Linked DNA regions of Styela clava. The protein of the gene in region 1 interacts with the protein of each later gene in a pairwise test. Links are inferred from orthologs where the notes say so. Each region holds a gene or a part of one and is shown in the gene's direction. Other genes may lie near its edges.

Region 1 (4,295 bases):
TAACGCTCTACCTACTAGGCCATGGCCGCCGCCCAAAATGACTTAATTTCCTACTTTGCATTGAGTTTAGGCGAAATATTGTAATTGATTGTGTTTAAGTCAATGCAACGAGTAAATATAATTTGTATACAATTTGCGGAAAAAAAGTGAGCACACAATTTTAATGGTAAAGGGAGTTTTAGGGAACCAAAGCTAGTTATTGAGTTATTGAACCCTTTTAAAATATACATAAATAGCTTATTTTCTAATACATGCTTACAACTATTACTATTTTATCATGCTTACATTCTTTCTTATTCAATATCATAATAGATATTTTAAATTGGAGAAAGTCTCGATTTTGCTACACAATTGATCAAATTTTATTTACAAAAGATCTATTGGGTGTGTATTTCGTTATAGAGTTGGGATAACGGATGATGATAAATAGTTCTCTATGTTCAACCTTACTATCGAATAGGGGGAAATTATAACGTATAATAAAACAAATTGATTTGTTTTTTACTCTTTTCTTCTGAGCAACGCCCCATTTGCCTCATCCCTGTAACAACAAACAATTTTCAAAACATCTTTCATGCGTTAAATAACAAAGGTATCGACGATGGATGCAGTGGTTTATGTGGTAAAACTATCACGAACAAATTTTCTATGAAAAATGTTTTTGAAAAGGTCGCTACAGAAGTATGTGTACTAATATGGAAGTAACTGATTTTGTTTTCCCGTTTCACATCAAGTTGTGTAGGGACTGAAACCTATTGGTGAGAGCATATTCACTTGGCTGACACAGGCAGTCCCAGAATTCGTAATGGAACTAATACAAGGAAAATCTGAATAAAATTAGGGTCCAACTCTAACCTGGTACACATACTACGGGAGTATCTATGAAATTATACTCTGTAAATATTACGACAGGAGAACGTTACTGGTTCACGTTATCATTTATTGCGTTTTTGAAAAGTGATCGAGACATCAATAAATTTTTAAAGTTGAAATACAAATATCAAAGGTTAGTGTCTAAATTAATGTTAAAATTATACAAAATCTTGGGCAGAACAATCTACGGCTCTATAAGTCCATAATTCACTTTCTTTCCTCTAATCTAGTGTTTTTCAACCGATGTTCTTCGGAACGTTGGTGTTCCGTGAACGACCTTCTGGTGTTTTACGCGTCGAATTGCTGTACGCAAATTTTTTGATTGGCATATTTTATGATAACAAAGGAAATCAACGTATTTGGTTTTGAGAACAGCGTGTTGGGTGATACTGATAATGAACGTTTACGCGAAGTGTAGGCTACGTAGTTTTCGTTACAGCGGCTAAACAGCAGAATGTCACCAAGCTTTGGGAATGCGCAGTTGATGCCAAACTCTCATCTATACCAAATATTGTCTCCATATTCTCTTTTCCGTATTTCAAATACGTGTTCGGAAAATTCGCGCAGGAGATTTCGTCCTAAGAAATCTCGCTGCAGGAAATTTTGCCGCATGAAAAATCACCTCAAGAGCACCGCAAAACAAGTATTTTACTAGAACCTCTCAAATATATGTTGGGCGTACATTTATTTCAATTACGCAGTGTTGCAGGTCACACACACGATCCACGTTCGGTAAGTAATTCTTGACGCTTTCCTATTTGGATATTATGAATTCTGCAATAAATATCCAACGATTCAAACACGATATTCCTTGAAAAATAGGTCTTCAAACAACGTTTAACAACACCAAAAATTTCTTTCTTTGCAATGAAGATAGGTAGGTTAATCCAACTTTAGCGTTTAACCTCTTATGTAAAAAAAAACAAAAGCAGACTGTCATATCTAAAACCAGTGATTGATTACTTTATATCCTAGCAGATGATTAAACTTAAGCATGATTCGAATATGCGAATAAACTTTACAATGCTACTGGGAATATTTCAAACATCAATAACAGTGGATTTATGCAAATGAAGAACCCACAATGTTAGATGGATCAGATTCATGCAATCATGGCGAAAGAAACGCCCATCATCCGTTCGCTGTCGATGACCCACAGTCCAATAGTGCATTTAGCGTTGTTTCACGGGGTCAAAGAGGTCAAATTGCTACAGCAAATTCAAATGAAGACTCACGCCACCATCGGACGAGAGGATCAATACAAAATTCGAATGATTTTTCCTCGAATCGACAAAGTGAAATTTTGTCATATAGATCACGAAACTTAGACACGAATAATGCGTGTGATAGTAACACGCATAATAATGCAAACTGTGGTGCGAATAGTAGCGTGCATTTTGACAGTCAAACCGTAGGAGCGCGTTGCAGTCGAACTTTTTGCGGAAATAACAACAACAAAAACTCCGCACGTCTAAGAGCTGACGCTATTGGTCCCGGAGTAATATTAGAAGATTCTTCATTTCATTTGAATCGAACGCAAAACGAATCGAATCGAACCTATTTATCAAGTCACTCGAGTAAAATTTTGAGGCATCGTGGAAAACGGACTAACATGCCTCCTCAGGGTACAATACCCAACGAATCCGATGGTCATTCATCGGGTACGAGGTGCAGTCAACATTCTTTGCAAAACTGTAGAAATCCTTCTTGTAATGGACAAGAAATATCACCAACGAGCAATGGGAACGTAATTTCACATCGGAATCGAACTCGTCTCACTAACGATCTGGAACTTTTATCAAGACCCAGTTGGTGCGATGCGAAATTTGCATACGAGCAAGTTGTTCAAGTAAGTCATACTTTATGTTTATTGGGAATATTTGTCTGTTTTGGGACTTCCTGAAGTATGTGCACCAAGATGACACACAACCTGAACATAGTAGTTGTACCAGGTTAGGGTTCAGGTTGTGCGCCATCATGGTTCACATACTTCGGGAGCGCCCTTTTCTGTTCAAATAACGCACACTGCCGTTTTATCGAGGATTTATGGGGGGATAAGTCATCGATAAAAGTTTAATTTGAAATTAAATATTTCATGTTAGTTCAGAGCGATGGTGGTGCGCACATCAGTGTTTGTCACCTACGCAGTCTGGGAATGGAAATAGCTGATATCCATTTCAGGCATGGGAAATGCAGCGTAGTTAAGGTCGATCCAAAGCTATATAGCATGGTAGATCTCTCTCTAACTAAACTTCAAAGTCGATTTCGATGCCTTTCGATTCATTATTTCAGTTATAATATTAATCAAGCACGCTTCTGTGTCCGACGATGACAGAAAGCAAAAACTGGAGTAATTTTAATTGAAAATCTAGTTAGCAACATCTTACAATTACGGACCGTTATTTTCGTTTTGTAGTAGTTATATATATATATATATACTGACATTCTTACGCCGCCTATTTTTGTAATCTGATATCGACCAAAACTGCGAGGAATCTATCGCAGCTTGAAATAACATTCTGCAAACGGTTGCATGATACAGTCTAAATAAAAATGTCAAAAAACATTCAAAAGGTTGGATTTGTAAAACCATATATGTCATTCAATCTATGTGACATCTCGTTCAACCGTGGCATGACCGATTTCTCATGGCACCTGACAAACAATGTCACGAGATCGTGTACGTCGTATAAAGTGTGGTGTAAAACACCTGCCATTGAACGATTTAGCAGCTTTGACAAATTTAATACACTGTTTAATTTTAGCTTCGCGTCATCACTTTTTGTGTTTTGTTTTCTTCTCTAGTTGGTATCGTTAATGTTGATGACGTAGTCTGCCTTCACATTACAAAGCTCTGATTTCTACCTCCTATGCAAAAATCATCTTTCCGAGTAGATAAATAATTACATCACAAGAATCTGAACTATTCCCACGTTTTCGTAGATGTTAAAACAATGCTGGATTCCTAACTTGTATTCTAAAACAAGTTATCATTTATAGACTCGTTGTGTTTTTCACAATCGATTACGTGTATCTCCACAGCGATTCCTAAACTTTATTTTTGACTTAGTTTATGATCAATATGTGAATAACCGTTATTTGAGCTGTAAGTTGACTCGCTTCTTTACTTATATAGGTCTGAAACGATGGTTTTTAACCGGGGACCCGCGGCATCCTAGGGTTCCGCAAGTTAACGTTTAAATCCCAGAGTCTGTATATTTATATATATGTATGTTGTTTAAATATAACTAAATACACGGTCATAATTTAGTTATATATGTATATAAAGAGCGGGCTACATGTTGGTTAACAGTTAATAATTTAATTGATTAAGAATAGATGTCACTCTACGTTTTGCCCACCCTGTATATTGAGTGTTTTTCACTTCTGTAGGGTTGAAAATCACTGATCTAGAAGTTGAA
Region 2 (4,295 bases), on another chromosome or scaffold:
AACTACAGCATCAGGTGAGAAGTACTCTGTCCCAGAGGATCGTTGGACACCTCTACCTGATATGTCTGAAGAAAAAGACATGAATGCCTTGGCTGCTGTTGGTCATAGCATATACAGCTGTGGTGGTCTGTTAAGAAAAACACCTTTAAACACTGTTGAGAAATTGAATCTGAAGACAATGCATTGGCAAGGAGTTGCATCAATGAAGACTCCTAGATATGGTGCTGCTGCGGTGACTTATAATGACAAGATTTATGTTATTGGAGGTGAAAATACAACTGTTCTATCATATGCTGAATTCTATGATACCATCACTGGTGTATGGACCGACATCTTGCAAATGACAATGCCTAGAAACTATTGTCATGGATTCGTACACGACAACAAAATATATGCTGTTTCTGGAATATGGGGGACCAATTTTTTTGGAGAACCAGTGGAAGCTTATGACATAGAGAAAAATACTTGGGAAAGACAAACACGTTTCCTGGCACCAGTGAGAGAGATAACTTGGGTTCTTTCAATGTGATCGACATATTCTGTTATAGCTGCTGTGAAAGAATATTGAATATACTATTCAATTTTAAATCACGGAGGAAGTTACTACAATATTGTTTCTAAATTATGAGTATTCAAACTTCGATTCATGACATGTTTAAAAAAGCTTTGTAAATATGTTAGCTATACATAATTTAGAATTGTATATTTCAAATCAAATAATTTAGTGGGATTTATGTTTGCCATATGTTTACACAACGTACCGTAGTTCCTCGTTTTGTTGAAGTTTAGTCACTGCCAATTACAAACACCGCTTTTTTGTTTTGTCTCACATTTTGTTCCTTTTCAATCATCCGTTTGCTCCAGGCTGCTTGTCATTAATACATAAGTTGTATTCTGTTTTGAATGTCTTTCAAGTTGACCTAATTTGCATTGATGAAAAATATTTTGACCAAAGAGCGAGGGACATATTCCGCTCAGTGATTTATACACCATTTGCCTTTATTTGTTATAAAAAAATCAAATTGGGATATTTACATTGCAATAATGATTGATATTATCTATAAAAGTGCTGTATAAAAAAGTTTTCTGTCTGGCATGTATGCCAGATTCAGGATTTCAATAAATTATTCAGAACTTAAAATGTCTCTTGGGCCTATGCTGCTTTTTTGTTTTGTTATGATGCATGACATAGTTAAGTGTAAAATCCTGTAATTTTTTGTGTAGATACAGCTAACTTATAGTTATATAAATATTACTGTCTGCTGGTACATAAACTCAAGATTTTGTAGGATTAATAGTTAGGACACTGTACTGATTGAGCTTGCATAAGTCATCTTCATTTTCTTCGTATGGCCTCATCTGATTCAGTAATATATGGACATAAAAATCACCAGGTATTCTTATATTTTCTGATTTTTTTTATAAACATATAAATAAACAATAATTGTTTATCAATTGAAATATTGGAAATTCAATATTCTCACACTAATGTTTTTTAAAACAAACATACCATAATAGAAGATTGATATTATTATGAAATCATGATTTTATAAAAATTTTCATTCACCATGATGAGATATACCATCAATAATTGACTCTGTTCAATGTGCACAAAGTACTATTTTTTGGATATATCCCAATTACAAATCAATTTTATTATAGCCATATAGTTTAACATTATATCTAGTAGAATTTTCCTTTTTTTGCAAAATGAAACCAGTGGCACAGTTAGTAATGACATCTTTTCTATTTTGTTCTCGAAAGTGCACCAAAATCAAACCACTCCTTTCTCCTGTCATATAATTTATCTTATATACAGAAAGTGGTTTTGGTTTTCTTCATTAAATGAATTTGTTGAAGCAATCTTCGCTGTATTGTGTGTGTATATGGCTGTGCTGAGAAAATAGCAACTCATAACATGTTTCGATTTATTTTCAGTTGAATGTCCACAGACTGGTGAGAGTAAAAGTCTTATCTGGTCATAATCTTGCTAAGAAGGATATATTTGGTGCCAGGTACTAATTTCTCCTATTATGCATATCTGTTTCTTCATTATGTCTACTGCAAATTACTATTTTTTATTATTATGGTAGAGATTTTGACATATTTTAAGGATCTGAGCTTTGTTCTAAGAAAGGTGTCAAGTACTTTTTGCTTAAAATCTTGTGTGTAATAAATGGCTCTTGAGATGAGCGTTCTGCTAATCAGACAAGAGTAGATCGTTAGTGAGTGATTGAAGTAGATTGGCCAAAGAGGGTTTAAGAAATATACATTATTACATTAGTCATACAAATATTATGCGAAATCAATCATTGATTTTAATAATTTTAGTGATCCATACGTGAAGGTATCTCTCTATCGACCAAAGCGAATATCACTCGGGCAATCCTATGAAAGCTATGGAACTGCAACAACCAAAACAAAGAAAAAAGTACGAAATTTCCTCTGATTTATATGATTCCTAGTATTTGATAGATGTTTCCACATCACTTTACAATAGTCATAACGCAATGTTTAACTGGGGTCAGTAAAGTCATGAAATATGAATTCATTTTAGGTTTCTTTCCCCGCAGATCAGGATCAATGACTGTTTACATAAAACTATGTAGACTATGTATATTATGTTTTAAAATGTCATTTACTTTAACATTACTACTGGTTTAAAATCTTGTTTATCATGGATTAGAGTTAGCTGTTTTCTGAATTTTGATTTTCTGAATTTTGCGTAAGAATTACTATTATGGAATATGAAATAACATTCAAACTAGTCAAATATTTTAATATTGGCGAAAGAAAGATCTACGGTAACAATTGTAATTTTGATAATACCCAGTTTCATAATATGATTCAATGTGTTTTTCAACTAAAATTAGGATTGTAACGGTGAAATTGCTTGGATTTAAAAGTCGACAAAACAAACTTTTCTAATAGGCACTCATCACTTCCTTACTTAATCTTGAGATTTGATTCACTTTCACGTTATTCTATTTACCGGTACACACTTTAATGTTCAATATAATTCGGTTTTCTGAATAAAAATAATAGATCACAGCCAATTATGCTACTTCAATTTCCCTCTATTATGTATGTCTCAGAATAATATTATGTAGCAAAGTTGATAACCATTTCATTTTATTTTCCGATATTTTTAGACCTTGAATCCAAAATGGGAGGAAGAATTTACTTTTAGAGTAAGTATTATATGGGATGCTCCGATAGCATTCAAGTGATGTATTGATTGTTTGAGATTCTGACTGATTTTGGACAATAATTTCATTTTTAAATGGTAAAACTAAATTATGTGTCCTGTTAATCCACTCTGAGAAGTTTAACTAATAACTTGATTTATTGTTGTGATCATTGCAATTACAACAAACCATCAAAATTTGTTTGAACAGAAGCAAGGTTTTAAGAATCAATTGAAATTAGGCAAATCTTGCTCACATCATGTGATTTTGGTATATTAGAATTGGAACGGTATGTCTTAGAACCTGCTGCCTGAATCTAAGCCATGCCCACTTCTTATAATTCAAATGCTGATAATAAGACTATAAACAAAAATGGAAGTGAGGTAATGATGTCAAAGAATCAGAAACAGAATATTTTTGTGGACCAGTTTCGCACTCTACTTGATATTTTATATCACACATAAGTATATGTAATCCTAATATTGAACTCCTGTAAATTATTGAAAAGCACACATATATACATATTAGCCCACAATCACATGTATTTCTCGTCCTTCATGATATATATCGGTAATGTAACAAAAGCGGAATTATGGCCAGAATTTCATTGGCCTTTTTTTGTAGTTCCGAAAAATTTGAGAGTCTTCTAGAATAAAACTTGTCTAGTGGAACAATAATAACTTATGTAACATACGGTAATAATAATATAGGTTGTGATAAATTCAGTTTAAAATGTAATAGCCAGACTTGTTGAGTATCATTGGCCTGTATGTAGTTTGCCTCTGTTATTCCAATTTCTCTTGTTCTCATATGCTCCCGTCAAATTTTAATTGTTTCTTCCACTTTATCAGGTGGTACCAAAGGAAAACAGACTACTGTTTGAAGTTTTTGATGAAAACAGAGTGGTGAGTTGTATTTCGAATTGACTAAATATTTTGCTATTTGGTGTTTTTTTAGTTTGCGAAAATGATCTCAAATACCAGGAGAGCTTATTTTGAAGTTGTAGGCTACTTTGGTTTCGAGAATGCTATAAATTTTCAAATTTAAATGTTATAGATTCATCTAATATAAACAAAATTATAATGAATTTTGTTTTACATTTTTGGA

The links.
Region 2: the proteins of protein patched homolog 1-like (region 1) and E3 ubiquitin-protein ligase NEDD4-like interact in a two-hybrid assay, tested with the Drosophila melanogaster proteins (2 studies listed by BioGRID). The link is inferred for Styela clava from reciprocal best matches to the Drosophila melanogaster genes ptc and Nedd4.

The regions. Positions count from the first base shown.
Region 1 is NC_135260.1:6,280,774-6,285,068, forward strand, and holds the start of protein patched homolog 1-like, read left to right. Parts: upstream 1-1,849; 5' UTR 1,850-1,957; coding exon 1,958-2,722; intron 2,723-4,295. UniProt on the Drosophila melanogaster protein: Segmentation polarity protein. Acts as a receptor for the hedgehog protein (hh). Associates with the smoothened protein (SMO) to transduce the hedgehog signal leading to the activation of wingless, decapentaplegic and patched itself.
Region 2 is NC_135257.1:7,635,115-7,639,409, reverse strand, and holds the start of E3 ubiquitin-protein ligase NEDD4-like, read left to right. Parts: upstream 1-1,252; 5' UTR 1,253-1,349; coding exon 1,350-1,394; intron 1,395-1,938; coding exon 1,939-2,015; intron 2,016-2,331; coding exon 2,332-2,431; intron 2,432-3,152; coding exon 3,153-3,191; intron 3,192-4,039; coding exon 4,040-4,093; intron 4,094-4,295. Other genes in the region: kelch-like protein 7, read left to right, coding at 1-529. UniProt on the Drosophila melanogaster protein: Essential E3 ubiquitin-protein ligase which accepts ubiquitin from an E2 ubiquitin-conjugating enzyme in the form of a thioester and then directly transfers the ubiquitin to targeted substrates.